Mytilus edulis: one gene and its partner. The protein of the gene in region 1 purifies or fractionates together with the protein of each later gene. This does not show direct contact. Links are inferred from orthologs where the notes say so. Each region holds a gene or a part of one and is shown in the gene's direction. Other genes may lie near its edges. The genes, in order: endoribonuclease Dicer-like and protein argonaute-2-like.

Region 1 (9,516 bases):
ATCAGCTACTGACACGTGAAGCTCGAGCCATGGTTATTAATTGTTGATACATTGTAGTAGATATTCAATTTGTAACAACTTTTAATCAATTTTACTTACTTTAATGGGCAAAATGGACCCATGTGATAATGATATTATGAGGTAGTCCAAATAAATATGACCTCTTGAAAGGTTATTTTATTTTTTTGCTGTGAAGCCTTAAATTAATTCCTACAATAGGAAGAAGCAACAAGAAGACTAATAATGCGACAAGAAAACAATTTTAGTGTCAAGAACTCTAACAATTACCATGATTACTTATTTCAATAAATAATTATATGACAAGAATGTGTCCTCAGTACACGAATGCCCCACTCGCACTATCATTTTCTATGTTCAGTGGACCGTGAAATTCGGGTAAAATCTCTAATTTGGCATTCAAATTAAAAAGATCATATCATAGGGAACATGTGTACCAAGTTTGAAGTCAATTGGACTTCAACTTCATCAAAAACTACCTTGACCAAAAACTTTAACCTGAAGCAGGACAGACGGACGAACAGACAGACAGACGGACGGACGGACGGACAAACAGACGGACGGACGAACAGACGCACAGACCAGAAAACATAATGCCCCTCTACTATCGTAGGTGGGGCATAAAAAAATGCATTATACTGTAACTTCAGAAATTATTGTGATGTTTTTATTATTGCGAAAAATGCAACAGGGTAATCATTGCAATAATTAACCAGATGCTCCGCAGGGCGCAGCTTTATACGACCGCATAGGTTGAACCCTGAACGGTTGGGGCAAGTATGGACACAACATTCAAGCTGGATTCAGCTCTAAATTTGGATTGTGATTAAATAGTTGACACAGCATAGGTTTTGGACACAGAATGAATGGGGTCTAATGAACTTAAAATATTTTTTTTGTCTTTGAGCAATCACTATGCTGTTGAATATTAATCCTCTCAAAAAAATGTTTGAAGAAATTTTCTTTTTATTTATGAAATCTGAAATGAGAAAAATAAACCCCCCCCCCCCCCACCATTTTTTTTTCACATCCCCCTTTCCCTTTTTTCAAAACTGATCTCAATTCAAATTTCTAATGGAGTTTGCAACAATAACTACTCATTTAAATACATAATAAAATATTAAAATGTAACAAAAAGTGCTTGTTATCACTGAATGGTAAAGAGTGTTTTAATTTATCAGTTGGTAGTAAAAGTGAATATACATTGTGCATTGTATAAAACAATGATTTAAGTTGATTCAACTACTATTCTGGACAAAGAAAGATAACTCCAATCAATTGAATATTTCTTGCTATTGCACAATATTGTGCAATTTGATATTTCTTGCTATTGCGCAATACTGTGCAATTGAAAATATTTGCTATTGCACAATACTGTGCAATTGAAGATTTCTTGCTATTGCACAATACTGTGCAATTGAACATTTTTTTCTATTGCACAATACTGTGCAATTGAAGATTTCTTGCTATTGCTGAATACTGTGCAATTGAAAATTTCTTGCTATTGCACAATTTTTGATATAATAATTTTGGATCCTGATTTGAACCAACTTGAAAACTGGGCCCATTATCAAAAATCTAAGTACATGATTAAATTCAGCATATCAAAAAAGCCAAAGAATTCAATTTTTATTAAAATCAAACTTAGTTTAATTTTGGACCCTTTGGTATTTAATGTAGACCAATTTGAAAACGGGACTAAAAATTAAGAATCTACATACACAGTTAGATTTGGCATATCAAAGAACCCCAATTATTCAATTTTTGATGAAATCAAACAACTTCTCTTGAACTGAATTTTAATGTGCGTATTGATATGCGTTTACTTTTCTACATTGGTTAGAGGTATAGGGGGAGGGTTGAGATCTCACAAACATGTTTAACCCCGCCGCATTTTTGCGCCTGTCCCAAGTCAGGAGCCTCTGGCCTTTGTTAGTCTTGTATTATTTTAATTTTAGTTTCTTGTGTACAATTTGGAAATTAGTTCATTATCACTGGACTAGTATATATTTGTTTAGGGGCCAGCTGAAGGACGCCTCCGGGTGCGGGAATTTCTCGCTACATTGAAGACCTGTTGGTGACCCTCTGCTGTTGTTTTTTATTTGGTCGGGTTGTTGTCTCTTTGACACATTCCCCATTTCCATTCTCAATTTAAAGTTTAATTTTGGACCCCGATTTGGACCAACTTGAAAACTGGGCCAATAATCAAAAATCTAAGTACATTTTTAGATTCAGAATATCAAAGAACCCCAAGGATTCATTTTTTGTTAAAATCAAACTAAGTTTAATTTTGGACCCTTTGGACCTTAATGTAGACCAATTGGAAAACGGGACCAAAAATTAAGAATCTACATACACAGTTAGATCCGGCATATCAAAGAACCCCAACTATTCAATTTTTGATGAAATCAAACAAAGTTCAATTTTGGACCCTTTGGGCACCTTATTCCTAAAAACCTGTTGGGACCAAAACTCCCAAAATCAAACCCAACCTTCCTTTTATGGTCATAAACCTTGTGTTTAAATTTCAAAGATTTCTATTTACTTATACTAAAGTTATGGTGCGAAAACCAAGAATAATGCTTACTTGGGCCCCTTTTTGGCCCCTAATTCCTAAACTGTTCAGACCTCAACTCCCAAAATCAATCCCAACCTTCCTTTTGTAGTCATAAACCTTGTGTTTAAATTTCATTGATTTCTATTTACTTATACTAAAGTTATTGTGCGAAAACCAAGAATAATGCTTATTTGGGCCCTTTTTGGCCCCTAATTCCTAAACTGTTTGAACTAAAACTCCCAAAATCAATCCGAACCTTCCGTTTGTGGTCATAAACCTTGTGTCAAAATTTCATAGATTTCTATTTACTTAAACTAAAGTTATAGTGCGAAAACCAAGAAAATGCTTATTTGGGCCCTTTTTGGCCCCTAATTCCTAAAATTTTGGGACCAAAACTCCCAAAATCAATCCCAACCTTCCTTTTGTGGTTATAAACCTTGTGTTAAAATTTCATAGATTTCTATTCACTTTTACTAAAGTTAGAGTGAGAAAACTAAAAGTAATCGGACGACGCAAGACGCAAGACGCAAGACGACGCAGGATGATGACGCCAACGTGATAGCAATATACGAAGAAAAAATTTTAATTTTTGCGGTCGTATAAAAATTGCATTTTGAAATTTTTTATATGAATCAAATAGGATTTTTCTGAATATCGCAAAAATTAAAATTGCATTTTGGTCTAAAATTGCAAAATCCCAATAATGAATGCACGCAATAATTTCTAAATTTACAGTAGTAAGTAAGTACAACAAATGTAAGTTAGTAAGTAATTTTTATTGAACATTGGACTTTCTGTTTCATCAGTGAACATATACAAACATGTGTTTACACATTAGAACGAAATTATATGTGTGGTTTTTATTTAAAGTGTGTTCATTAAAAGTGATTTTCATTAAATCATGATACTGACATGACTGATGAAGAACTTAAACATTTGTTAAAACAAAGAGGGGATTGTTAAGGTTTTTATTTATCACCAAGAATATGTTTTTAAACAAGAGTGCACACACTGAAATGTCTCGCCTTCTTTAATTATCTTTGATATTATGTCCTAAATATAAAGCTTTACTACAACTATCACATAAACTTAACATGATCCAAGAAAATGAGGTCAAGGTCATATAAACCAAACTAGAAATACATGTATGTACACCTTACAATCATTCAAATTCAATACACTTTTAAATATAGTTGACCTATTGCTTATAGTTTCTACGAAACAGACTTTTAAAAGCAAGAAAAATAAATATTGAGCAATGAACCATGAAGATGAGGTCAAGGTCAGATGAACCATGCCAGGCAGACATGTACAGCTTACAATTCTTCCATACAACAAATACAGTTGACCTATTACTTACAGTTTAAGAAAAACAGACCAAAACACAAAAACTTAACAATGAACACTGAAAATGAGGTCAAGGTCAAATAACACCTGCGAGACTGACATGTACATCATAAAATAGTTCCATACACCAAATATAGTTGACCTATTGCATATACATTTAGTATTAGAAAAATCAAGACCAAAACTCAAAAACTTAACTTTGACCACTGAACCATGAAAATAAGGTCAAGGTCAGATGACACCTGCTAGCTAGAAATAAACACATTACAATCATTCAATACACCAAATATAGTAGACCTATTGCATACAGTATAAGAAAAATAGACCAAAACAAAAACTTAACTATAACCACTGAACCTTAAAAATGAGGTCAAGGTCAGATGACTCTTGCCGGTTGGACATGTACACCTTACAGTCTACCCATAAATGATAAAATCGAATATATTAGACCTCTTACTTATAGTATCTGAGATATGGACTTCACCACCAAAACTTCACCTTGTTCACCGATCCATGAAATGAGGTCGAGGTGAAGTGAAAACTGTCTGACTGACATGAGGACCTTGCAAGGTATGCACATACCGAACATAGTTATCCTTTTACTCATAATAAGAGAGAAATAAACGTTACAAAAAATCGTAACTTTTTTTTTCAAGTAGTCACTGAACCATGAAAATGAGGTCAAGGACAATTCACATGTGACAGACAGAAACTCTGTAACATGAGGCATCTATATACAAAGTATGAAGCATCCAGGTCTTCCACCTTCTAAAATATAAAGCTTTTAAGAAGTTAGCTACCGCTGCTGCCGTAGTAGCCTCCGCCGCCTGATCACTATCCCTAAGTCAAGCTTTCTGCCATAAAAGTCGTAGGCTTGACAAAAATGTGATACTGTTAAAACAACAAATAATCAACTATATTAGACCACTATCCAGGTCGTTGTATTTCCGCAAAAAAAAAACCATTGCCAGTTTGGTTTAGGTGAACATCATTCATGTGTTCAAGGGCATTATCCCTTCCTTCCCATATTGAGGGAGCATTTGAAAAAAAATGATATAATGCTGTATTGGACTTTTGCATTTATTCAGCAAATTAAATAAATTCTAGTAATTGATACTCTGGCTGAGAACTGAAATTATAGTCGATATTTTGTTGTTTTAACATTATCCAATTTTTATTTAGACAGTATAGCTAAATTTTTATTTTTTAATTTTTTTAATTAAATTTTTAATTTTTTATTTAATGTCAATGCCAAATATTATGGCAATGGCAAAATTTTGACTTTATGATAAAAAAAAATCCCTCAAAATTGAAACCTTTTTTTATTTTATGTTTAGAAATTAAGATCAAAACCTTATTTTTTAAGAAACATCAAGTAGCTGGCCTGTGGCTAAATTATCAAAAAATAGATAATTACTTCTGTCACAAGATTCTTTGTATCCATCTCCTCAGTGGGTTTTGGCTGTTAGAATTTCTGTAAATATGATAAGTCAAGGATTTTCATTGGCTTATTTTAGAAATCTGTCCAATTAAAATCACTCTTTCACTTTGACGATTTTCCGGCAAATGAAGAAACAAATGTGAAAACATTTCAAAAATAAGCATCTGCAATTTATGATTGTGATGCGGACGTAGGCGCATTCCCATCACTATATAAAGGTCTTTATAAGAAAATATGTATTTTCTTTTTTTTGGCAAAATTTAAACATTGCATGCAGTAAATAATTTAAGAAAAAAAAGAAAAAAATGCCCCCCCCCTTTTTTATCCAAATATTGGTTTTATGATTATCCAGATCATTAAACAACAAAAATTATTAGAAATTTAAGATTAGGATACTACCTAAGAAATTACTCAAACAAAATCAATTTAAATATAGATCCCAAGTGTGAATGGGGTCAATTACTGAATTACTTCAATTAGAAACTGGGGGACATTATTTACTATTTTGTGAAAATTATGAAGAGGCTAGACAGAAACAGAAAACTTATACATGAGATTTTCTTTAACACGGATCGTTTCATTTTGATTTAGAACTTTTATTGTTAACCCTTTCAACGCTACACAAAAAAATAGAAAAATGGCTGCTGCTGCTGCATTTTTTTTTAGTACATTCATTAGAACAGTATTTTCCTTTTCAGACTGCTGTATCTTTTTTATTATATGAGATACAGAGAAAGTTATTGCATGAAAAATGCTCAGGAGAGCATGAACTGTAATGTTAGGCAATTATTTTACTGAAATTTTTATCAGGTTACCTGCGTTTTCAGGTAATTAACAGGTAAAAGGTGTAATTTATTACATTTGTGTTGAATTTTGAATAAAAACTACTTTTAGTCTTCATTTATTTTGTTGTTTTATCTGCCATATTGTAAAGAAGACACCAGTTGCCCGATTCCGTAGCGTATTGTACCATACATAACGTTTTATGTAATCGTGGCACAAATAAATAGCTCCGTCCTAAAAAATTTCAGTCAACCTCCGTTTCCCCCCCTTTTTCTACGTCTCGTAATGATCTATCAAATCATATTTCCCACACGAATTTTATGTAATAAACACAATGAGATAACAAGAAACCTTTTAACTAATCCTCGTTGTAAGTTTCGCCAAGGAAATGCTGAAATTTTTCCATATTTACAGCTTCGTTTCCGATTTCCGCCATTTGCATTTGTCAAAATATTTGTTTTTATTTTCCTTCTATTTTCCTTCTACTGCATGATTTTACTATAAAAATTGTCGGGATTTCAAGCGCAAATGAGACCTTGCATATCCTAGATTCAAACGAGGAAAAATTAGAGAGAACCCGAATGAAAACCGAATGGTTTAAGAGTCCTTATGAAAAATCCTTTTTCATCGCGGCATATGCCGCGAATAGCAGTGGCGAACGGCGTACGTCATCGCGGCATATGCCGTGTATAGCGTTGAAAGGGTTAATAGAAAAAAAACAACAACTACTCCGTCTCTAATGAAACACTAATATCAGTCATGCGATTATAGGGTGACTTTATTTGTGAGATGCGCTGTTTTGATAAAGAAACATTTTTGTCGAGCCTTCGACTTTAGTCGAAAAAGCGAGACATAGCGATCCTTCATTCCGTCAGCGTCGTCGTCGTCATCGGCGGCGTCCACATATATTCACTCTGTGGTTAAAGTTTTTGAAATTTTAATAACTTTCTTAAACTATCCTTGAATTGTATGAAACTTGGACAGAAGCTTGTTTATGTTCATAAGATAGTACCCAGAAGTAAATTTTGTAAAAATAAAATTCCATTTTTTCCGTATTTTACTTATAAATGGACTTAGTTTTTTCTGCCAAACATTACATTCACTCTGTTAATGTCTGTGGTTAAAGTTTTAAAATTTTTAATAACTTTCTTAAACTATCCTGGAAATGTACAAAACTTGGCCAGAAGCTTGTTTATGATCAGGATATAGTATCCAGAAGTAAATTTTGTAAAAATAAAATTCCATTTTTTCCGTATTTTTCTTATAAATGGACTTAGTTTTTTCTGCCAGGAAACATTAAATTCACTCTGGTTAAAGTTTTTAAAATTTTAATAACTTTCTTAAACTATCCTGGAATTGTAAGAAACTTGGCCAGAAGCTTGTTTATGATCAGAAGATAGTATCCAGAAGTAAATTTTGTAAAAATAAAATTCCCTTTTTCCCGTATTTTACTTATAGATGGACTTAGTTTTAAACATTTTTAAGTTTCTTAAACTAGCCTGGATTTTTACCAAACTTGGATAGAAGCTTCTGACAATCAAAAGATAGTATTGAGAGGAATAATTTTATTGATTTTTTTCATCATTTTTGATGAGTGTGTGATTAACAGCAAAAGTAGGCGAGACACTGGGTTCCGCGGAATTGTCTTTTTATGTTAAATATATTTTTTTAGCAAACAAGCTTTTGATTTACCTAAACACTTAAATTATTTAATAGTACTTTATTATATTAGATAAATGATAAACTGTCAATTGTATACTTTTATCATATTCAGAAAATACCATACCTGCCAACCCTCCCGTTTTGAGCGGGAGACTCCCACTCAGATGGCGAAAATCGGGAAATCTCCCGCTTGCCGATACCCTCCCGCTGTCATAGCTGTGGGAGATAGATCTCCCTCTTTGAAAGTTTAAGAGGTTGGCAGGTATGGAAAATACTATTGTTAATAAAATTTTCAATGCTTCAATGTTCTAGAACTCCTACATGTATAATGACAAAACTAAAGATATTTGTACAGAATTTATGATAGTCATATATCTTTTCAGTTGTTGTTATAAATAGTTGTTTAAACAAAGAATTTATAATCAGTGCTTGCAAAATAACAGGAATCTTTTAAACTTAGTTTATGAAAGTTTCTTTCATGTACACAATGAATCAAAGACATTCTTTAATCATTGAAAGGGGAAGACATCTTTATATTCCAAGAAAAAATACTTAAAGGTACTGTCCAATCTGTAGTATTCCTTCATTCTCTACTGTACATAATAGTGGAATCGACGTCCAAATCTGACGTTACATTCTCAAATCAATGGCCAATATTTTGATTATCTAATGGCAATGAATGGACATCCAATGTGACGTTGCATATTGCCAAAACCTCAAATTTATTGTAGTCATCTTTAATCGATGTCCCAAAATCATTTATAATACTGACTGTAAATTCAGAAATTATTGCCTGCATTTATTATTGCGATTTTGTCATTTTAGACTTGAATGTGATTTTAATTTTTACAATTTTGAGAAAAATCCTGTTTAATTCATATGAAATATTTCAAAATGCGAGTTTAAAATATCGCGTTTACAACTATGTCGCAATTTTTCGCAATAATAAAAACCTTGCATTAATTTCTGAATTTACAGTAAATAATAAATTACTGGACTTACACTTATACCTGTACATGTTTTGTACACGTCTTATGACAACTATAAATTTTCAAACATTTATACATACTTTCCAATATCGAATTTTTTCAACAAGAAATAGGTAACATGCATTTAAATATTTATCTTGATTAAAAGTTAATCCAATTGATGTACATAATACTGGGTAGTGTGTCAATCATATTAAAAAATGACATGCATGTAGTCACTCATAATTCTTAATAGAATGGCGCTTGTATATTTTTTAGCAGTTAAGCTAATGAAATTTTACTGTTAATGTTATATAAGTGGTGAGACTTTGATAAAATATTGAATCTAGAATCTTTTAAATCAATTAGAAAGCAACCAAACAACAAAGGAAACCAATGACATCTACATGTAGGAGCATTATTTAGTCTTCCACAATTGACAAAATAAAGAAGTACAGCAAATGGTTTTGAGAGTATTATAATTCGGCATCTGTAAGATATTTTCAACAAATTTCTGAGTTTTACCCCCTGTACTGAAAATATACTCAAGAAATCTGCATTATGTTTTTATGTTGTGCTGTTACACCTCTGTTCTAGATTAAGTGCACACACACATGTTTAAAACCGACACATTCTCTATGTTCCTGTAGTCCAGTGGTTGTCGTTGGTCTGCAATACTGGTCTTTCGGAATTGTTTTGTAATAAATAAGAGTATTAAGACCGTTAATTTTCTTATTTGA
Region 2 (10,399 bases), on another chromosome or scaffold:
CCCAACCTTAACTATAGGGTCGATCACAAGTGCCCTGGATTAGACTTGCTACAATTCCCTTTCTAATATTTCTCTCTTACTAATTGATATGTTTACTGATAAGTGCCAGCCTACTGATTGCCCTTGGAGAAAGGGACTTGTATAATAACATTTTATACCGACCTGCAGATGTCAGTATAATTGTAATCTCCTAGTTATAGCAGTAAAATTATTAAAGGGGCAAAATTGAAAAAAATAATAATAATTAGGAAGGGACATGTAGCAAGTCTAGCCCTGGATATGCAGCAGATCATGTCCAATTTACGATACCCGTCGTGTTTTTCTTGTTAAAATATAATTAGGGGAATGCACAGAGATGCCTTTTGATTGATTTATTTGTCGTTTGGTTGTTTATTATTGCCGCATAAACCCCTCATCTCCTTTTATAAACACCATAATACATTACTCATGTACTCAATTGTAGTATTTCGTTTATGATTATAATAATAACCCTCTGATCTTGCTTAATTTTATGCGTCCAAAGAACTTTTCATGATCATCTTTTGTCGTCTTCTCTGTAAAATCTATGTGCATTTCTAACTGTCCTCCTCATCCTCGATAGGTATTGTTTAATTTTCGTAGTGTATCTTCATATCTAGTTTATTGCATAGAAGATGTGGTATGATTGCTAATGAGACAACTCTCCATGCACAAAAGACAAAATGACAAAGAAATAAAAACTATACGTCATCATCATGGTACGGTCTTCAACAACGAATAAAACTCTTGTCGCATATAGTCAGCAATATAAGTCCCAAAGTATCAAATGTAAAAGAATTCAAACGAGGGCCCGATGTATGTTCTATGATGAATGAAAAAAAATATGATATACATCAACAATCGACAACCACTGAATTACACTGACTTTGGACAGGCACATACAGAATGAGGCGGGGTCAAACTAGTTTGAAATCCTAATCCTCCCCATAACCAGGGACAGAAGTGTAACAGTACACCATAAAAACAAACTATTTTCACATCTTGAATGAATGTGGTCTTTTATCTGGGCTTAATCGGTTGTCATATCTGTTATTTCTTTGCTAAAGTACCGACCAATTTTAGAACGAGTAAAACTGTTCCTATCGCATACAAGATCTCAACAAAATTGCATATGAGGATCTTGCATTTGGTCCTTAATTTTTTTTACTATAAAAATGTATGTAATTAGATGATTTCTGTATTCAAAGGTTTGAACCAAGCCTGCACATTTCTACAATCTTTTTGGTACGTGCAGAATCTTCGCGATTCGCGATTTCATAGATTCCAAACAACCAACAGCAGCTTAAACAGTTTAAAAAGCTGACAAAAAATCTTTGGACTCTTTCTTTAATTCAGTAATGAACATAGTTGATATACGTATTCAACATTTTAAAGAACATTTTATTATTAAAAATAACCACAATAAACATATTTCTTGTATCAAACATAGACTAAAAGAACTAGCCAAGGAATTTGTTTTTGTCCCGGCCGATAAAGCTGCTAATAATATTATTATTGTTTGACGTAAATTTTACATTGAGGTTCTGAAAAAAGAAATTACCAATTCACCAACATTCCAACTGACTCCATTTTCAGAAATCGACATCTGTAACAAACATAAACTTTTAGCTACCGCTTTACAAGCAGAACCGAATACAATGAAAGTCCCTACTATGTATTGGCTTCCGAAGCTACACAAAACACCTTACAAATATAGATTTATTTCGTCTTCAAGCCATTGTTCCACTACTAAATCGTCTATTCTTCTTACCAGTACACTTGGTACAATCAAAAACCTGATTATAAATTGTTCAAATAAGGCCTTCGAAAATAGTGGAATTAATTACTTTTGGAGTGTCAAGAACTCGTTGGAAGTACTTGATAAATTGCATGCTTTTATATTGGTGATTTTGAATCTGTTCAAAGTTTTGATTTTTCTACCCTGTATACCACATTGCCTCACATTCTCATTAAGAAAAAAATCACCCATCTAATTAAATGGGCATTTAAAAAGTCAGAATGCGAATATATATGTTCAATCTCTTTTAGGTCATTTTTTAGTAGCAATAAAAAAAACTATGTCAATTTGACATGCTTTGATACTATATATGCCCTTGAATTTTTACTAGATAACATTTTTGTTCGCTTTGGAGATTCCGTATATCGTCAGGTTATTGGAATTCCAATGGGGACTAACTGTGCACCACTTATTGCGGACCTGTTTTTGTATTGTTATGAGTTACAATTTATGACAAAAATCAGCAAAGACCCATCGAAACAGCATCTCATAAACAAATTTAATAATACTTTTAGATATTTGGATGACATTTTGGCTCTCAATAATGACGACTTCAGTATATATACTAAAGAAAGTTATCCTGTTGAACTTACTTTAAATAAAGCTAAAACTAACAATGACCACTGCCCTTTCCTCGATCTTGATATCTATATCACTAACGGAAAGCTTAATACTAAAATTTATGATAAAAGAGATGATTTTTCATTTCCTATAGTTAATTATCTATTTTTAGATGGTGACGTTCCATTGTCACCATCTTACGGTGTTTATATATCTCAACTTGTACGATTCGCTCGTGTATGTAACAATGTTTTAGATTTTAACGAGAGAAATTTGTGTATTACTGAAAAATTATTACACCAGGGTTTTCGATATCACAAACTAGTCAAAACATTTACTAAATTTTATCATCGGTGTAAGGACATCATTCGTAAATATAGCTCAACATGCAGACTTCTTATACGTTCAGGTATTTCACATCCAATTTTTTATGGAAATATTCTTTATAAAGCACAAAAATGTCAGTATTCACCTCAGAATCTAACAAAACCTTTAAATAGACTTATCAAGAAGGGATATAGTTACGATACTGTTGTCAGGTCACTAAAGATTGCTTATTTTGGCGTTAATATTGATTCACTTATAAGGTCTTTGCATCGGAACTAAACACATTTATTAAAAAAACCAGTTGTTGGCATGACACGGGTTATGTTCTTCTCATATATGTTATGATGGTATGATACTAAACCTCTAACGGGGAGGATTGTGCCTGATATTCATATGATGAAATCATAATCTTTCAATCAGTTTAATTGAAGTCTGGAGCTGGCATGTCAGTTAACTGCTAGTAGTCTGTTGTTATTTATGTATTATTGTCATTTTGTTTATTTTCTTTGGTTACATCTTCTGACATCAGACTCGGACTTCTCTTGAATTGAATTTTAAATGTGCGTATTGTTATGCATTTACTTTTCTACATTGGCTAGAGGTATAGGGGGAGGGTTGAGATCTCATAAACATGTTTAACCCCGCCGCATTTTTGCGCCTGTCCCAAGGAGCCTCTGGCCTTTGTTAGTCTAGTATTTTTTTAATTTTAGTTTCTTGTGTACAATTCGGAAATTAGTATGGCGTTCATTATCACTGAACTAGTATATATTTGTTTAGGGGCCAGTGAAGGACGCCTCCGGGTGCGGGAATGTCTCGCTACATTGAAGACCTGTTAGTGACCTTCTGCTGTTGTTTTTTCAATGGTCGGGTTGTTGTCTCTTTGACACATTCCCCATTTCCATTCTCAATTTTACAATTTGAAACTAGCCTCATTAATATAACAAAACAATTTACAAAACACAAGTTGGTAGTTCTCCATGGTTTGGTTGTGTGAACTTCCATTAATAAAAGTGATTTTTAAAAATAGGTCTGATATCAGTTTAGACAGCATAGGTTGATGCATCTTGATTTTGTTCTCAATCGTACGGGGAATAGTTTCGTAAGTTTTGTTCATTTGTAAAGCTCATTCAATATTTTTTTTTAAAACCGTGTGTTATGATTGCCAATGAGACAACTCTCCACAAGAGACCAATTGACACAGCAATTTACAACTTTAGGTCACCGTACGGCCTTCAACAATGAGCAAACCCCATACCGCATAGTTAGCTATAAAATGCCCCGAAATGACAAATTTAAAACAATTTATACCAGAAAACTAACGGCCTAATTTATGCACAAAAAATGAACGAAAAACAAATAAATAACACATCAACAAACGACAACCACTGAATAACAGGCTCCTGACTTGGGACAGGCACATACATACAGAATGTGGTGGGGTTTAAACATGTTAGCGGGATCCCAATCCTCCCCTAACCCGGGACAGTGGTATAACAGTACAACATAGGAACGAACTATAAAAATCAGTTGAAAACATCTTAACTCATCAGATAGATACAAATAGAAATACATCTAACAAAAACACAGAGTTAGTGGCGTTTTATTAAAAATCTCAAAGATATTTTTAATACCGATTTTTTTCAAAAATTTAGTGCTTTCGGTGATTCTATTGATTTTCTTATTTCCTATTTGAGTCCAATTTATTGTGTGGATTTAAATAATCAGTAGTAATCGCTTGGAATAGGCGCAACCGTTCTCTGTGCGTTAACTGTTGCGACGGATAAGTTCTGTCCTGATCCACTATTTCCTTATTTTTTCGGTAATGGTATAAATGCTCGCCTTTCATTCCCATCGAACCACTTTGCAGAACCTACATATCATTGAATGCATTGTTAGTCTTGTCTCGTCTATGAAATAGTTGCCACTGGATGTTGAACAACACCAACCAATTAATCATATATTTGCCATTAAAACGGAAATGGATTTCGTATTTGGTGCTGTCAGTTTAGCATACATTCTATTAGTGTTCAATACGAAAAAAATACAAGGCTATGTACCGCGTCAGATTACCATTCCGACCATGCGAGGGCTTCATCGCCACTGAGTCGCGGACGGTTAATAAAAACATAGATAAGAAAATTTCCATTGCAACAACTGTTTTTGAGATGGGTTTCCAGTGGCATGTTGCCAAATACAACAAATGAGCTATGTCACAGATTTTTGTAAAATTAGGCATACAACTTTGGCTCGTTTAACTATAACTGAAAATAGAAAAAAATAATTAATGCATTCATCTCTTTCGTTTTGGAATCAATATTGATAAATATTAATATTGAATTAGTTCTCTATAAAACTCGATGATGCACATCATTTTCTGGGTTTATAAAATAATATATAACGTTGAAACTTGATATAGAAATACAAAATGCCTACTGTAGTGTCTTTTTCTAAGACTCGTCGTGACGATTTTTATAATTCTCAGACTGAATTTAAAGTACTTTTACGCTGGATTTCTATTACATATGATAGTAGTCACAGATCTGTAGCTGAGACACTTGTCTGTGAATATCATGCTACATGTAGTTAGTGTAATAGACATCTGGATTTATCTTTATTTTGGCAATGACTTTTTTTTTGGGGGGGGGGGGGGGGGGGGTAATTCATTTTTGTATTCTTTAAGTTTGTATGCCACTCATTTTCTAAATAATAATTTTAATTATTTATACTTTTTTACCATTGTTATCTTTTTACATATTTTAGAATGTCAGATAATATTCTATATATATACTTTTGAGGTCCATGTGAATTAAGTCTCCCGAGTGATTCTATCCCTTGTATTTTTGCTTGCTCAAGATTTTTGCCCCTAATCTCTATTCTCAGTGTAAATCAAGCAATCAATCGATGAACCGTGAAAATGTCCAAAGATGTACATGTAAAATAAAATATAATGATCTGTAATAATAATGATCAATAATGGTTAATATCTAAAATAAGCAATTGAAAACTCTTCGTTTATTTTTCTCACCCGAAAAGGGGAGACAACAAAACTAATCAATTTATTCTCACCAGATGGCGTAATTTTTTTACTACGGCAGCCATTTTCTTTCGGAAACAGCGAGTGAAGAGTCGCCAGATAGAAAATAACTTTTCATAAAGCCTTTTAGGCTTTGAATAGTATCGAGAATTATACCAATGCCAAAATGTTTCCAATTCCAGGTACCACAATTTGTTCCGTGAAATGAACTGTGTAACGTTTAGCAATCAAAGAACTTTGCCCCACGCCATTTTAAAAAACACGAATTATTATGTTCTTTTGTTATGAACATGTTGATTTTTGTTGAAATTAAAAAGGTCAATTAAGGATTTTTAAAATGTTTGATAATTTGCTCTCGTAAAGATGACGTTTTATGATTGTCAGGTCGAAAAAGCCACTAAACAAGAGTTCAAGGCTGTTTTTTTTCTGATTTTAAGAACGTTTCTATCCTGTGTTTATCAGATTTATAAAAGAAGTAAATCAACATGATCAAAGAGGCTACTGTTCTGTTTGATAAGCAAAATCACAGCATGGTGTTACCCCTGTCATTCTAATGTCCAACCCACATATTAACTGTAACAGTAAAGGAAATGTATTAAGAAGATCCTGTTCTGAAGATTTGTATATTATTCTACGCTCGCATAATTTGAACCTGTTTTATGTGTATGGTAAGGGTTAGGGCTAGTCCAAATAATTATGACGTATGGCAAGGCTATTTTTATTTATTTGTGGGACACCTTCCTAAGGCGTCATAATACTGAAGCCATTTTTTACGTCTGGAGTTTGAGAGCAAATTTTGAGACCTTTTTTTGACATGAAATTTTCATTGCTGGTTCAATTTTTTTTACGGTATTACAAAGTCCTACCTTTTTTGTGCTTATTGAATATTTGATATAGAATATTTCCAGAAATATCCATAAGAAATGATAAAATAAGATACGATTCCATTTGAAGTGGGCAAGTATTTATTTTGTTTCAAAGAAATTTTCCACAATTACCGAAGAAACGTCACTTCCGGTGAATATAAAATATTAAAATCGGTAAAATTTGGCAGACCCGAATTTCCGGAGAATGTAAATCGAACGTTCCAGAAATTTCTGGTCCATTAAATTTTACCGATTTTGATATTATGACAAGCGAAAGCAACAGTTGTTTTTCCTTCAAATCAGAAAAAATCAAAAATATCTTTGAACTCTTGCGAACAGTCTTTTCTAAATCTGCTACCTGTTCTGATCAGCATATCGGCTGAATGTTGTTTTTTATGAAAATATAAGAATTGTTCGTTGTTGGTCTGAAATAATATGTCAGTTCTTACCAACTATTTATTCTGGGTTTTATTTTCAAGGATCCTGGTGTGCTTTTGATAAATGTCTTGCTTTTTAATACAATATTCTTTAAGGTTCATCTGAAGGAATTGAAAAATATGGCTGTTTTCACATCCACAAATTTACTATTAGTACAGACAAACTAATGCATCTAGGAAAGTTTTAAGACATGGCGGGACCTACATGTAGGTATATAAAAGTTATATGAAGTGTATGTTACAGAAAATTAATGAATATTAAACCTGGATTTTGACGTGCATTTTTTTCAAGTCTGCATAAGATAGCAAAATAAACAAACACACAAGTTTCATTTGATACATTCCACTCAGTTACACAGTTTAAATCACCTATTGTTTAGTAAATGTTTACAGGTGTCTATTGTCCATCTGTTGTCCATTTAAATCAATTACTCACAACATCAATTATCTGAGGGTAGCTTCTCAAACGTTTTCCCAACTTAGTTATTTTTGCACCTTCTGCATGAATGAAAAAAAAAAAGAAAAGGCAAAATCCAGAAAAGTTTATAATTTTCTGAAACATAAAATGCATCTAAAATTAATTTGTCTAGGTCCAGCCCTGCCGATTTTCGCAGGTGCACAGGTTTTTCTGTACTCGGAGTATAAGTGTTGGTGTAAATACGTCCATGTTAGCCAAAAGGTTATGATGAACCTAAAGAGGAGTCTGATACCTGGAAAAAAAGCTAATCAATATTTATTATCATTGTTACATGAACTGATTTTTCCTTTAAAGATTAAATGCAAATTTAAAGAATTAGTCTTTTAAATTACTAATGTTATTAACATGAATATACATGTGAATAAAAAAAAAATCAGAAATTTGAAGTGATCTACTACATGTACAAATGTAGGATATTCAGTTTGGATGTAAACAGTTTTTAAAAAAAATTCTTTGTGATAAGAATTACTGTAAAATGAAAAAAAAAATGTATGGTTCCAGTTACCAGACTTATAAAAAAGAAGATGTGGTATGATTGCCAATGAGACAACTATCCACAAAAGACCAAAATGACACAGACATTAACAACTATAAGCAGTGTTCCAGCTAGGCCGTTTTCAGAGGGCGCGGCGCCCGCCCTTTTCCGAGTGGCGCCCTGTGCCCTTTTTACAGTTTCCTGGGCGCCCTGCCTTTTTTGAAGATCGATTGCATATTAATTTGCGTATTGATATGATACGCTAATTACTAAATTTTACCTGGGGAAAAGATTATGACTTTGTTTACCACCCCAAGCTAATCAATGGTTACAACTGGTGTCATAATCTGTTGTTATAGGTAATCCGTTTATCGGATGGGTCATTAATGATCATCAACATTAATTCGTTCAAATAGAATCGGTCAGTCGGCAATTATCTTTGAAGAAATGTGCATACAACAACTTGGGCACAATTTGCGATGTTTACCGTAGTTTCATGGAAGAAACGTAATGACAGAAAGTTGGAAAACCATTATAAACTCGTTGAAGACATTGTTTTACTGGTTTTCTGTAAAATAAACAGAAAATTCAGACGTATTTGTCATTGACTGCCTTCATTTTTGATACGAAAATAACAAAAAATCGGCCGCCATATTGTGATCATATTTACATCATATTTACGTACTGTTTATAATCCTCCAAAGAGGGAGCACACCCGAATAAAGAAAGATAACTCAATCTGATTTTTTTCCTAGCATTGAGTAACCCATTTACATATTCTAAAATGTGTCTCCATACTTCTTGCTTAAGAATATATATGTTTAGGTATTTATTTTGAGTTATGGGAAAAGTTAAAGAGGGTCTTAGTAGCAGTGTTGGTAGGGTGCCTTGGTCATCTTTTTCTGTATTCTTTACTTTACTATTTTTCACTGTTGCTTTATATCCTAAAATTGTGAATTTACTGAGCACAGCTGTTTTGTGCTGTATTGCCATCAAGCACAGCAGGGGTAGAAAGGTGAAACTGGTAAAATGTGGTAGACCATAGAAACAGTATGAAACAGATCTCCTTTCAAAACATACTGCATATAAAGTTCAACTGTGCCAAGCAATGATAAAAAAAACTTGTGTGACAAGCTGCTTGACAAGTTTTTCAGCCTTAAAAGTAGAAAGATAGAGTTCTATATGGGCTAAAGATGTTGTTCTTGTATAACCTGTGATTCAACGAATAAACACAAATGTTTGATTAACATCTTTTATTAAAATATGCCCTTTTCATATTATCATATCGCGCGTTAAATGCCCTTTTTCAGGATTGGCACCCTGCCCTTTTGAAAACCTAGCTGGAACACTGTATAAGTCACTGTAAGGCCTTCAACAAAGAGCAAAGCTCATACCGCATAGTCAGCTATAAAAGGCCCCGTTGCCCTAGTTTATAGTACCTTTGTTCTTTTTCTTAAAAAAGTAATTTTGAACAATCCCACTCTCATGATTCTGTGAAATGTGATTTCAATCATTAAATTGAATGACATCATCTGAATTTCAAATAGAAGTATCCACTACGGTTTATAATGTAACCAATTCTGAACAGACTTAACAATATTAGCTTTACAATTAAAGTGCCTATTTATTTTACAACTAAACATACAGGAAATGGTGAAAATCCTGTACAGCCATGTTTTGGTGGAAACATGATTTTCTTCCCAGATTTTGATAATCTCCACCCAAAAAATACAGACCTACATCCCTTCTTTTTTTCAGGATACATCCCTTGAACCACACAATCATATAATTTTATTTGGTCTGACGTGTATAATTCTACTTGCAAGCATGAATACAATGGAATAGTTTATACAAATCAAATGATAAATGAATATTTTTATACTATGAAATCTATAATTGTACAACTGCATTGATAAACAATTTTTACAGTACGATGTATGTCGCAATTATTATGATGTTTGTATTTGTACAAGTGAATTAACTACTGTACAATATATATGTGGGTATTAAAATGATGCATGCATTTCATCCTTAATTGCAAAAAACAAGAAGTCCATTACATGTAATAGGTTTCTTAAGAAGCTATGTGTATTATAATGATAATTACTGCATGTTTAAAAATGACCTGAAAAGGAACATTGCGCTGCAACTTGCATCTGCTTTTTATACAAACAAAAACACCTTGAGGATATAAACCCAAGTCACATTTTGTGTTATAATGCAGTTTTCTTTTCCAAACTAAATAAGATAGCTCTCCTCGCCTACATGTTTGATAAAGGCACCTTTAAAAAAATGTATTAGAATTTTTTTTTTGTAAATAAGATTTTTTTTTATTTTTTTTTTTTAAATGTATATTAATGTATATTAGATGTTATTCTTACCTATCTATTTGTTCGGAAAATTAA

What was found.
Region 2: the proteins of endoribonuclease Dicer-like (region 1) and protein argonaute-2-like purify together in Drosophila melanogaster (affinity purification with western blotting; 5 studies listed by BioGRID, with this or other methods). This does not show direct contact. The link is inferred for Mytilus edulis from reciprocal best matches to the Drosophila melanogaster genes Dcr-1 and AGO1.

Annotation. Positions count from the first base shown.
Region 1 is NC_092346.1:84,421,500-84,431,015, forward strand, and holds the start of endoribonuclease Dicer-like, read left to right. Parts: upstream 1-5,445; 5' UTR 5,446-5,581; intron 5,582-9,516. Other genes in the region: alpha-ketoglutarate-dependent dioxygenase alkB homolog 6-like, read right to left, coding at 5,340-5,366. UniProt on the Drosophila melanogaster protein: Endoribonuclease which functions in microRNA- (miRNA) gene silencing and, independently of its ribonuclease III activity, also acts in the short interfering RNA- (siRNA) gene silencing pathway.
Region 2 is NC_092355.1:23,866,043-23,876,441, reverse strand, and holds the start of protein argonaute-2-like, read left to right. Parts: upstream 1-5,748; 5' UTR 5,749-5,904; coding exon 5,905-5,920; intron 5,921-10,399.